3 linked regions of the Oryctolagus cuniculus genome follow. The protein of the gene in region 3 interacts with the protein of the main gene of each other region in a pairwise test. Links are inferred from orthologs where the notes say so. Each region holds a gene or a part of one and is shown on either strand. Other genes may lie near its edges. The genes, in order: PPP1R16A, EHHADH and TPP2.

Region 1 (2,577 bases), on a different chromosome or scaffold from region 3:
AGTGCCCTCAGCCCTCCCTCTTGAGACCCCTTAGGGGCCCCTCTCACTCTGGCACACTGTGCCCAGCCAGCTTGGAGCCCAAGTGGCCAACTGCCTGTCCCCTGTCCCACCCCAGGCGGAAGCTGGCAGCCAGGATCAGGGCGACACGCCAGCGACGACGGACCCGCCCCCTCCCCCAGGGAAGTGTGCAATGCCAGCCTTGTGCCTGCTCTGCCCCTCTGGCTCGGGCCCAGCAGTCCTGGGAAAACCACCTCCCCTTCCAGGCTGGGGTCTCCGCCCCCTGGCACGGCCACCCTCAGCCTTGGTCCCCAAGGAGTGGCCCCCCAAAGCGCCCTGCTCCTTCCGGAAGGCAGGACTCAGGAGGGGAGCACTGAGGCTTCCTGCACAGGGCTGTGGGCCCCTCCCAGAGCGCCGGGACTGCCACGTGCGGGCCCCGGCACGCACCCACAGGCTTCCCGAGCTCGTTGGGACGGGCGTGCCCAGCTGAGCAGCACACCTGCTCCCACTGTGGGGACGGTGGCCCAGGTGAGACACACAACAAGGCTCCGTGGCCAAGCAGCCCTTTATCAGAATCCCAGCATAGTCTCTGCAGCCAGAAGCCCTGGGCATGGCTGGCCAGGTCCGTCCCGGGCGCCGGCAGCCAGGGCAGGCAGCCCTCACATGAGCAGGCAGCACGGCCTCTTCTCCACAGGGGCCTCCTCCAAGGGGGCGGTGAGCCTGAGCAGGGGCGGGTCCCCGCAGGCCCCGACGCCACAGTCGGGGTGGGGGCTCTCAGTGTCAGCAGGCGGGCTGTGCTCCGGGGGCTCCGGGGCCTCCGGGGCCTCGGGCCCGGCGGCTGGAGGACGCTGTAGCTTGGCGGCCGCTCGCTGGCGCTTCAGCTCTGCCAGGGTGTGGTGGGCCTTGTCCCGGGCCGGGGCCTCCGGCGTGCTGTTCTCCAGAGGGCTGAGCTGGTAGGAGACGCTCCGGTCCAGCCGCTTGGAGTACAGGTGGCCCCCTGGAGAGCCCCCTACTCGGCCGTTGTGTGGCCGGAGCACCTCGGGGTTGTCCTGTGGGCGGGGCCGAGCTGTCAGGAGAGGCCTTCGCTGGGGGTGGCAGGGCCCCTGCCGTCAGGCCGCAGCCCAGGCCGTCTGCCGGGCCTGCCCGGGGGACGCTCACCTCCAAGGGCGCTGGCTGGAGCTCAGCGTCCGCCCGGCGGTCCTCGTCGTCCTGCGGCGGCGCCGGCTGCTGCCACACCACGGCCTCTTGCGCGTGCTCCTTGCGGTACATGTCGGTGCGCTGCGTGAGGCTCACCCTCCTCACCACCTTCCTGCTCGCAGGAGGGCAGGGGAAGGGAGGGTTACTCGGCCTGAGCCCCTGCCGGGCCCTGCCTGCCGGCCGGCAGCCCACACACTCACCCGCGGCTGCCTGCGCTGGACGTGCGCCGGCGCAGCAGGGAGCGCTGGCGGCCCTGGGAGCGCAGGAGGGCGTCGTGCTTGTGCTTCAGCTCCAGCAGCTTGGCCCGCACCTCCTCGTCGCCGCACACGTCTGCGGAGAAGGCACGGTGTCACGGGAGCCCGCCCGTCCCCCTGCCAGGTACAGGCAGCCCCAGCTCACCCAGGGGCGTCTCATCCAGCAGGGACTTCGCATTCAGGTCGGCCCCGTGCGCCACAAGCAGCTCCACCAGGTGCACCTGTGGGCCACCAGCCGGGCTGCTGAGGGGTCTGCAGCAGGGCGTGCCCCCCGCCCCCCGCCCCCAGCCGCAGCACCCACCTGGCCCCAGTAGGCCGCGGCGTGCAGTGGCTCCCAGCCGTCGCGGTCCTGGGCGTGCAGGCTGGCTCCATGCTCCAACAGCAGAGCGGCTGCCTCGCTGAACCCGTTGGCGGCCGCGACGTGCAGCTACAGGCAAGACCCAGTGCTGAGTCCTGGCCCCTCCGGCAGGCCCCCCCACCCCACCCCCACTCAGGCGGCTGGGTCCTCACCAGCGTGGCCCCATGGTCCACAGGCCCATCGAGGCTGGCCCCAGCCCGCAGCAAGCTCCGAATGTCCTCCAGCACCCGCAGCTCCGGCACCGCCCGGGCCTCCTCAATGCCCTCCTGGGTGATGCCTGTGGGGCATCAGGCTCAGAGGGGGCGTCCCCAGGACCCCCCGTCCCCAGGCACGGGGACCACCACGTGCACCCACCACGGCTGGCCATGGCAGTCTCCAGGCAGTCCAGCGTCCGCTCGTCTTCGCACAGGTCGTAGGGCATGTTCCCATCCGCGTTGACGGCCAGGAGATCGGCGCCACTGCAGGGGGACGGAGCGGCTGCTGGTCCTGGGACCCTCGTCCACAAAACCAGGCCCCTCCCCCAGGCCCAGGGGAGGGCTGCCTCTGGAGATCTCCGGCTCCCCTCTGCCTGCACCCACCCTGGCGCGAAGCCACACAGCCCACCCTGCAGTCTCCACCTGGGCTCCAGGTCCCCAGAAGCAGGGGACGTGGCCCACCTGCTGAGGGGTGCAGGAGTCAAGACACCGGACTACAAAGCTGTTGGGGAGCGGGCCCTGGTTCTGCTGGAAGGCCCGTGTGCATGGGGGGCAGAGCCAGCACTGCCTGACGAGC
Region 2 (4,122 bases), on a different chromosome or scaffold from region 3:
GGATTGTATAAAACTGAAAATAGGAAGGGGAAAAGAAAGGAAGGGAAGAGGAAAATAAAAGTAGAAAGTAAGGCCGGCGCCACGGCTCACTAGGCTAATCCTCTGCCTTGCGGCGCCGGCACGCCGGGTTCTAGTCCCGGTCGGGGCGCCAGATTCTGTCCCGGTTGCCCCTCTTCCAGGCCAGCTCTCTGCTGTGGCCAGGGAGTGCAGTGGAGGATGGCCCAAGTGCTTGGGCCCTGCACCCCATGGGAGACCAGGAGAAGTACCTGGCTCCTGCCATCGGATCAGCGCGTGCGCCGGCCGCAGCGCACCGGCCGCAGCAGCCATTGGAGGGTGAACGAACGGCAAAGGAAGACCTTTCTCTCTGTCTCTCTCTCTCACTGTCCACTCTGCCTGTCAAAAAAATAAAAAATAAAAAAAAAGAAAGTAAATAAATAAAATATTTTTACCAGATCAGGGAACCTGTCAAACTCGATGACCTTGCTAGGATGTACACCACCATTACACAGCAGCTCAGGAGGGGCAGGCAGGAGAGGGAGGGAGGTGTTGCTCGGTGTAACCTCCCTGCAGCTTTATGAGGGAGTTAGCGACAATACTCCTGCAGGGGGTGGAGGAGGTGAGCAGATCCAAGAGCAGAACGCACTGCTAGTTATAGTGCTGCACTCCGGAAACCGTGTCCCTGAAGTCTTGCTGAGCAGAGGCTGCACCAGGATGCTGCCACTGAGTGTTTCAGGCAAGTCCACAGTGATGCGTCAGCACATTTCTTGTGTTTTCCCTTTTCAGAACCAATGAACAGAACTTTGCTTTTTTTCTGGGAATAGTAAGTGGACATACCATCTTGTGTGATTTTATTCCTGTTGTACTATTAAATGCTATAATTCATATTAAAATAAGAGCTATAATATTAATAGTAATGATAAAATTAAACCTGATGATAGGATTAAAGATTTAGTTAAAACTAGCAGGTCTCCTCCTTTTAGTTTATTTTTGCTCCAGCAGCATGTGATTAGAGTTTTGACCAAAGATTTTTCTGTCTATGTTTTAAGTATTCTATGTAAATAATAATTTTACTAATCCTACCCTCCGTGGATGGGTGGCTCTTTCCAAGGCTTATGTATAACCACACTTTTTACAGAGACATATAAGCATGAAACCAAGTGAGCTTCATTAAGTTTCAAAAAGGCAGCACTGATCTCACTTTTATTTATTTATTGTTCTAAAGATTTGTTTATTTGAAAGGCAGATTTTAGAGAGAGAGAAAGACAGAGAGATCTTCCATTTGCTGGTTCCCTCCTCCAAATGGCTGCAATAGCCAAGGCTGGACTGCTGAAGCCAGGAGCCAGGAACAGCTGGGACTCGAACTGGCACCTTTATGGGATGCCAGCATTGCCAGCGGCAGCCTTACCAGCTATGGCACAATGCTGGCCCCAATCTCACTTTTAAAAAATAAAGCTTTAGGGACTGGGTGTTTAGCCTAGAGATTAAGATGTCCATGTCCCTGGAGTTCCTGGGTTTGATTCTCAGCTCCTGATTCCAGCTTCCTGCTAATGCACACCCTGGGAGGCAGCAGGTGATGGCACAGGCAACGGAGCTGCTGTCACCCATGCAGGAGACCTGGATTGGGACCTGAAGCTTCTGGCTTCCTATGGTGGCGCTATTGCAGGAATTTGGGAAGTGAACTAGACAATGAGAGCGTGCACTCTCTCTCTCAAGTGAATAAATAAAATTTAAAAGTAATGCTAAGTGCATTACAAAGAAGGTATCCCACAATGAAATAAAAGAAGATAAACCGCACAATTTTTAAGAAAATGCAGCCGGCACCGCGGCTCAATAGGCCAATCCTCTGCTTAGCGGCGCCTGCACACTGGGTTCTAGTCCCGGTTGGGGCGCCAGATTCTGTCCCGGTTGCCCCTCTTCCAGGCCAGCTCTCTGCTGTGGCCAGGGAGTGCAGTGGAGGATGGTCCAAGTGCTTGGGCCCTGCACCCCATGGGAGACCAGGAGAAGCACCTGGCTCCTGGCTTCGGATCAGCGCGGTGCGCCGGCCAGAGCGGCCATTGGAGGGTGAACCAACGGCAAAGGAAGACCTTTCTGTCTCTCTCTCTCACTGTCCACTCTGCCTGTCAAAAAAAAAAAAAAAAAAAAAAAAGAGAGAGAGAAAGAGAGAGAGAGAGAGAAAATGCTATTTCGTAGGCTTACTCTGACAAGGAACTTCCCAGTAAAAATCCTGAATCCCTGGACTAACAGAATTCTCCTTTACGCGTTGCATTGACATTTATGGGGATTTTACTTTATTTTTCAAAAATATTAAACCATTTTCTTGTCTGATTCTTAAAGCTTTTAGGCACACGCTGGAAGGGCAGCCTGGATTCTGTGTTAGGGAGGTGAGGCTGGATCAAGGTCCACCTTTGTATTAAGTCCGAGACCTTTGGAAGAGAAAGTCCACCGTAGAAGCCAAAGCTACAAATAAGCAGGAGGGTTCGGCAGGCAGTCGGCACGCACAGACCCAGCACTCACTTGGCAGCCTTGCGTCTGCGTCTCTAAGCCTCCAATGCCTGCCAGTACCCCGGAGGAGAGTTCGCAGAGACGAGCCAAGCTAACCTGGGCAAAGACCCTGGCACACAGCAGCCGCGCGGCCTCGGTCAGGGTCTCTCTGAGTTTCAAGTCAGCAGGGGAAGAGTGAAAGCCCAGGCGGCAGGAACACTGTCCGTTACCTGATGGCGTTGACAGGAGGGTTTCGGAGGCGGATCAGCGCCAGGGAGTTGGGCAGCCGTAAATACTCAGCCATGTTTCCTCTGTCACCTAAGCCACCACCGCTGCCTCTCGCTGCAGGGAGACGCCACTTTTCCGGGCGCCGAGGCCCGCCCCGCGAGGAGGAGCGCCCGCTGGGCCAATGCGCGCCGGGCGCCACCCCGCCGCCGCCCCTGGCTCCACCGCCCGCGTCGCAAACTCCGGTCTCCTTCGGTCTCGGCTGCCGTGGGGCTCCCGCCACCAAGCGCGTCCACGAGGGCGACCGGCAGCCGTAAACCGCGGAGTCGTCCGCAAGGCAGGGTCTGCAACCCCCGGCCCCTAGGGGCTGGCTGCCTGGGACGAGTTCTGGTTTCAGGGAATGGGGCCAGCTGTCCTCGTCACACTACTCAGGAACACGCGTGTGGTGCCCCGCCGAGTACGGGGCGTGCTGCACACCCAGAACACACATACTACACACATCAGGCGTTCCGCCTAAACCAGGTGGTGCTAACATCCACCAAGGAGCGACACTTGTCTTACAATCACGGAGCCCCGTGAGGTCCACCAGTTCGTCTGCCCATCCTCTCTCCTTTCTTCTGATGCATCTTCCATCCGCCCATCAGCTGAGCCCCTGGGACGTGCGGGACCTCTGCAGGTGGCTCAACCTGAACAAGGCCCAGCCCCTGCCCTCCCATCTCAGGCCGGTACAAGGTTTCCTAAACGGGCTCGGTCTCTCGGTCTCCTCCATTCAAGTGCCCAGAGTGTAATTTGGAATCGGCGGGCGCTCTGCTCACTTTCTCGCTCTTCCAGCCCCGCTCCGGCGCCCGCGCCACCCTCATTTCCTCAGTTGCAGCCCAGCGTAGGAGCCGGGACCAGCGGCGTCTGGGCCGGCAGGACCGAGGCGCCGGCACACGCGGGAGGGCGGACGGGCCCGGGCCGGGAGTCCGCGAGCGGCGGCTTCGGGAGCGCCGCAACCCAAGCGGGTCCTGTCGCCGCCGCCTCGTTCGCTCCCTTCCCTCGGCCAAAGGCGCGCCTCTCGCGCACGCGCACGCGCCCGGCGCCTCCGGGGAGCGCGGTCGCCAGATCCCGTCCGCTGCGCGCGTGCTTCCTAACCCCTCACTCCTTCCCCCTAACCTGGGGGGCTGCAGCCCGCTGGCTGAGGGGGAAGTCGGCCGAGCAGGGTGCTGTGGGCGGCCGCGTGTGTACTAGTGTGTGGGTGTGTGAAGTGCGTTATCTGGGACGTGACTGTCGGGGGCACAGAGGTGCGTGTGACGAGGCTGTGTATGACTGAAATGGAGTGTGGGTGCTGTGTATGTGTGTACTTGAGTGTGTGCGTGGCTATGCCCGGTTGTAAACAGAGTGTTTGTGTATGTGGTGTGTGTGACGCAGTGTGGC
Region 3 (4,180 bases):
ACAACTCCCTGTGTTCCTTGAAGTTTTTACTTTAAGCCTCTATTCCTTTACTTAGATCCCATTTGGCTTTCCAAATGGCCAGTTCATCCTCCTCTTCCCTGTATTTTATTCTTTCTTTCCTTTTATTTGTATCTACCTTCTTATTGTATTTCAGTATGTCCCACTGTCCTATAAATAGGACAACTTAAAAAAAATTGAGCAGTAAATATACCATGTATGGTAACTCTGCACCTGTGCCAATTTAGTTGAAATATTTGCATAATTGAAAACTAGGAACATAATGTGTTAATGATGTATACATGAAACTACAAAATAACTTTGTAAAGGGCAAAAATCCTTAGTAAGTCACTCAGGGATTGGGCACTTAACTTAGTGGTTAAGAAGCTTGAAGCCCACACTGGAGTACCCAGGTTTGGCTCCCAACTATAGCTTCCCACCAATGCAGACTCTGGGAGGCAGTGGTGATGGTTTAAGTACTTGGGCTTCTGCCAGTCATGTCAGAGACCTGGATTGAATTTCCAGCTCTCAGCTCTGGTCTGGGCATTTGGGGAGTGAACTAGTGAATGGGAGCCTGCTCTCTCTGCCTCTCAAAAACAAAACAAAACAAGAAAAAAAGAAAGATGTCACTTAGGCTCATAAGTTCAGTCTACCTTGCTGAATTTCTTTTAATTGGAGGTAGTCAGGTCACTATCTCAGAAAAAATTGTCCGAAGGCCCAGCCTTGGCTGCTGTGAATAACATGGGGAATGAATCAGTGGGTGGAAACTCTCTCTCCTCTTTTACTGTCTCTTTCCCCCCTCTAACTCCTTCAAATAAATAAATAAATAAATCGTTTTAAAAATAGCTATCCAAAGAGTTATGCTTTCATTTGACTTCAACATTTTATTGTTTCAATACTTACATGTTTTTACACGTAAATATCTAACACATTCACCCTTCAGAGAGTTGATGATTAAGGAGCCAGCATAAATTCCTACTGAATATCCTTGCTTTTTAAAAAAACTGTTTATTTAATGCTTTTCTCAAGCATTTTAAAAAGTCACATGTAATTAATCTCAATCAATTTTCATAACAATACCGCAGCATGAAAATCACTGGTACTTGACAGAGTAACAGAGTAACCTGATAAACAGATCTGGAAATTCTACAAATATCTACTGAGCTGTATTTCTCTAAATTTTTGTGATACTCTTTTATTAACCTGACAACAGAACCAGTGAGCCGCACACCCCAGCTGTTCTCCTCCCACTTATCCCTATAAAATGTAAACACAGGCCACAGCAGAATGGAAGGCATTGCTAGTCTGTAATAAAGCCTCAAGGAGGTGATAGCTGCCACTGTTTTAAGTCTTAAGAGTTATTAGTACAACAATGACTATAAAAACTACAGTTGCCAGGAGGGAACTCATCATCAAAGCTGCCTGGCAGGGCCGCCATTGGGTGTGGGGTGCTCGCACCAGAGCGTGGTGTTGAAGAACTAAAACCAGGAAGCAAGATTCCTAGAGGGCTTCTATACAAAGTTGGCCAGACTGGCTTCCACTTTCCTAAGCCCCCATAATACGACCTCAATTAGCAGAAGGCACTGTAAATGATGCGGAGGAGGGGTGTATTAGGGGTAAGGAGAAAGAGATTTATTAAACGTTACTGTTTATGGTAGAAAGGGCAGTAAGATACAGAGGAAAACACTGGTAAACACAAGAGATCAAAATACAGCAGAACTAGTCGAGGAAGATTCGGGCAGGTAAGTTCTGAACACCAGTAAAATGTTGTTTACTAGTGGATTTCAACAAAAGCTTAAATTTATCAAAGTTAAACTTTTAAAAACAGAATGCTTCTAACAGAGACACACATTTTTAAAATTACCTTTGTACATGGTACCCTGATCTACGAATCTTAGAGGTGCGTAAGGCAAAACTAAGTAATTTTTGAAAACCGTAGTAATTAAAGCGCGTTGTCTTATGTTTCCAGATTAAACACACACACACACACAAGAATCGTTTCCAAAGGTACGAAAAGTTCGCCCGAAACAAACTAAACTGGATGCCTACGTAAAACGAATGCAAAGTCAGGAGAGTCAAGGACCCTACACACACACACTGCAGGAGACTGTTTAAAAATAGAATACACACAACCACAAGAAACAATTCCGGAAGTGGGCCGAGCGATCGTCTCGAAAACCCGGTCTCGTGTTCAAACTCCTCTTCCCCAAAAAACCCAATCCCCCAAATCACAGCCATGGCAATCAAGTTCTCGGAGGGTCTTCTGCCCCATTCCCCAGATCCGGGATTAAAAAAAAAAAAAACCTGCAAGATTCTGGCAGGGACCGGTGCCCGAGACGACGGCGCGGGGGTGGGGGGCTGGCGCCCTGAGGTGTCCGGCCTGGCAGCGCCCAGGCGGACCCGGGCTCCCCACGCCAGCCACGCCAGGCTCGCCGCTTTTGTCTGGCCAGCGGCACCACGGCCCTCGCCCCCGACACCTGGGCGCAGCCGGGTCCCCTGGGCGGGCCATGGTGGCTCTCGGCGCTGCCCACCCCGGCCTGGGCACGGCCGCAGAGCGGGGCCCCGGCCTGAGCGGGCTCCGAGGCCGCGTCCTCCCCGGCGTCCCCGGCCGCCCGCGCCCGGGCCCTCCGGGGCTGACTCACCTGCATGCCCGGAGCCCCCGGGTCGACCCCCGTGTCCAGGACCGCGATGAGCACCCCGCGCCCGTCATATTCCGGGTAGCGGCAGAGGAAGGAGGCGGCCCCGGTCTCTTTCTTTGGCAGGAGACCGTGGAAAGGGAAGGGCTCCTCGGTCGCGGCGGTGGCCATGGGCGAAGGCTGGAGGACGAGGAAGAGGCAAACTGCCAGGCTGCGCGCGGACGAGCGGCGCGAGGACACACGGGTGGCCGCAGGCCGGAGGCGGGGGCGAGGGGAGGAGCCGGCCGGCCCTCGGCCAATCGCGGCTCGCGGGGGCGCGGCGGCCAATCAGGTGCTGCTTCGTCAACCAACGGCGCCGCTCGGAGGCGCCGGCCCCGAGTGTTGCCCGGGCTGCAGAGAAGGGGGCGGAGTCTGAGAGCATAACTGGGGGTTCGGTTCTCGAACCTTTACAGAAACCCGCGTTTGGGGTGTTTTGGGAGCGAGTCAAAACTCTGGGCGTGCTGGACGGACACACCGTCCGCGAGGGCGAGGCCGGAGCCGCGGGGTTTCTGACCTGGAGGGCGTGGGGTGCCCCAGGCAGAGGAGTTGCTGAGGCTGGCCGAGTCCGGGGAGCCGCGGGGTGCGGGGAAGGCGCGGGCGCTAGGTGGGAAGGCCAGGCCGTAGATCCGGAGCTGCGGGGCTGGGACGCGGCGGGCGGGGGGCGGCTGTGCGTGGCGTCGGCAGGAAGTGAGTTTGTGGGCTCTCGGGGCCGGGAGAGACCCGAGAGTGAAGTGCGCCGCGCCTGACCTCGCTGCTTACCGTCGGCTTCTGGCGTTGGGGAGAACCCGTTGGTGAAGCGAGGTGAGGTTCCGGGTGGTTCCGGCGGCTTCCCGCCCCGTTACGGAGCCGTCCCGGGCGGCGCGTCCCTTTCAGTTTCCTCGGCGATACCCGTGTGTGTGTGTGTGTGTGTGTGTGTGTGTGTGTGTGTGTGTGTGTGTGTGTCCCCGTGAGAGTCCTCAGCGATACCTGTGCGTGTGTCTGTGTGAGTCTCCTCAGCGATACCCGTGTGTGTGTGTGTGTGAGAGTCCTCAGCGATACCTGTGCGTGTGTGTGTCTGTGAGTCTCCTCAGTGATACCCGTGTGTGTGTGTGTGTGTGTGTCCGTGAGAGTCCTCAGCGATACGTGTGTGTGTCTGTGAGTCTCCTCAGTGATACCTGTGCGTGTGTGTGTGTCCGTGTCTGTGAGAGTCTCCTCAGCAATACCCCTGTGTGTGTGTGTGTGTGTGTGTCTGTGTCTGTGAGAGTCCTCAGCGATACCTGTGCGTGTGTGTGTCTGTGAGAGTCTCCTCAGCAATACCCCTGTGTGTGTGTGTGTGTGTGTGTCTGTGTCTGTGAGAGTCCTCAGCGATACCTGTGCGTGTGTGTGTCTGTGAGTCTCCTCAGTGATACCCGTGTGTGTGTGTGTGTGTGTCCGTGAGAGTCCTCAGCGATACGTGTGTGTGTCTGTGAGTCTCCTCAGTGATACCTGTGCGTGTGTGTGTGTCCGTGTCTGTGAGAGTCTCCTCAGCA

What was found.
Region 1: the proteins of TPP2 (region 3) and PPP1R16A interact in binary tests that used the Homo sapiens proteins (3 or more experiments, as listed by UniProt). The two-hybrid records come from large-scale screens. The link is inferred for Oryctolagus cuniculus from reciprocal best matches to the Homo sapiens genes TPP2 and PPP1R16A.
Region 2: the proteins of TPP2 (region 3) and EHHADH interact in binary tests that used the Homo sapiens proteins (3 or more experiments, as listed by UniProt). The two-hybrid records come from large-scale screens. The link is inferred for Oryctolagus cuniculus from reciprocal best matches to the Homo sapiens genes TPP2 and EHHADH.

What each region holds. Positions count from the first base shown.
Region 1 is NC_091437.1:168,197,901-168,200,477, reverse strand, and holds the end of PPP1R16A (protein phosphatase 1 regulatory subunit 16A), read right to left. Parts: intron 2,265-2,577; coding exon 2,161-2,264; intron 2,084-2,160; coding exon 1,959-2,083; intron 1,876-1,958; coding exon 1,750-1,875; intron 1,670-1,749; coding exon 1,594-1,669; intron 1,525-1,593; coding exon 1,395-1,524; intron 1,307-1,394; coding exon 1,156-1,306; intron 1,047-1,155; coding exon 657-1,046; 3' UTR 545-656; downstream 1-544. UniProt on the Homo sapiens protein: Inhibits protein phosphatase 1 activity toward phosphorylase, myosin light chain and myosin substrates.
Region 2 is NC_091435.1:94,913,561-94,917,682, forward strand, and holds the start of EHHADH (peroxisomal bifunctional enzyme), read right to left. Parts: upstream 2,878-4,122; 5' UTR 2,786-2,877; coding exon 2,712-2,785; intron 1-2,711. UniProt on the Homo sapiens protein: Peroxisomal trifunctional enzyme possessing 2-enoyl-CoA hydratase, 3-hydroxyacyl-CoA dehydrogenase, and delta 3, delta 2-enoyl-CoA isomerase activities. Catalyzes two of the four reactions of the long chain fatty acids peroxisomal beta-oxidation pathway.
Region 3 is NC_091440.1:10,086,818-10,090,997, forward strand, and holds the start of TPP2 (tripeptidyl-peptidase 2), read right to left. Parts: upstream 2,911-4,180; 5' UTR 2,805-2,910; coding exon 2,640-2,804; intron 1-2,639. UniProt on the Homo sapiens protein: Cytosolic tripeptidyl-peptidase that releases N-terminal tripeptides from polypeptides and is a component of the proteolytic cascade acting downstream of the 26S proteasome in the ubiquitin-proteasome pathway.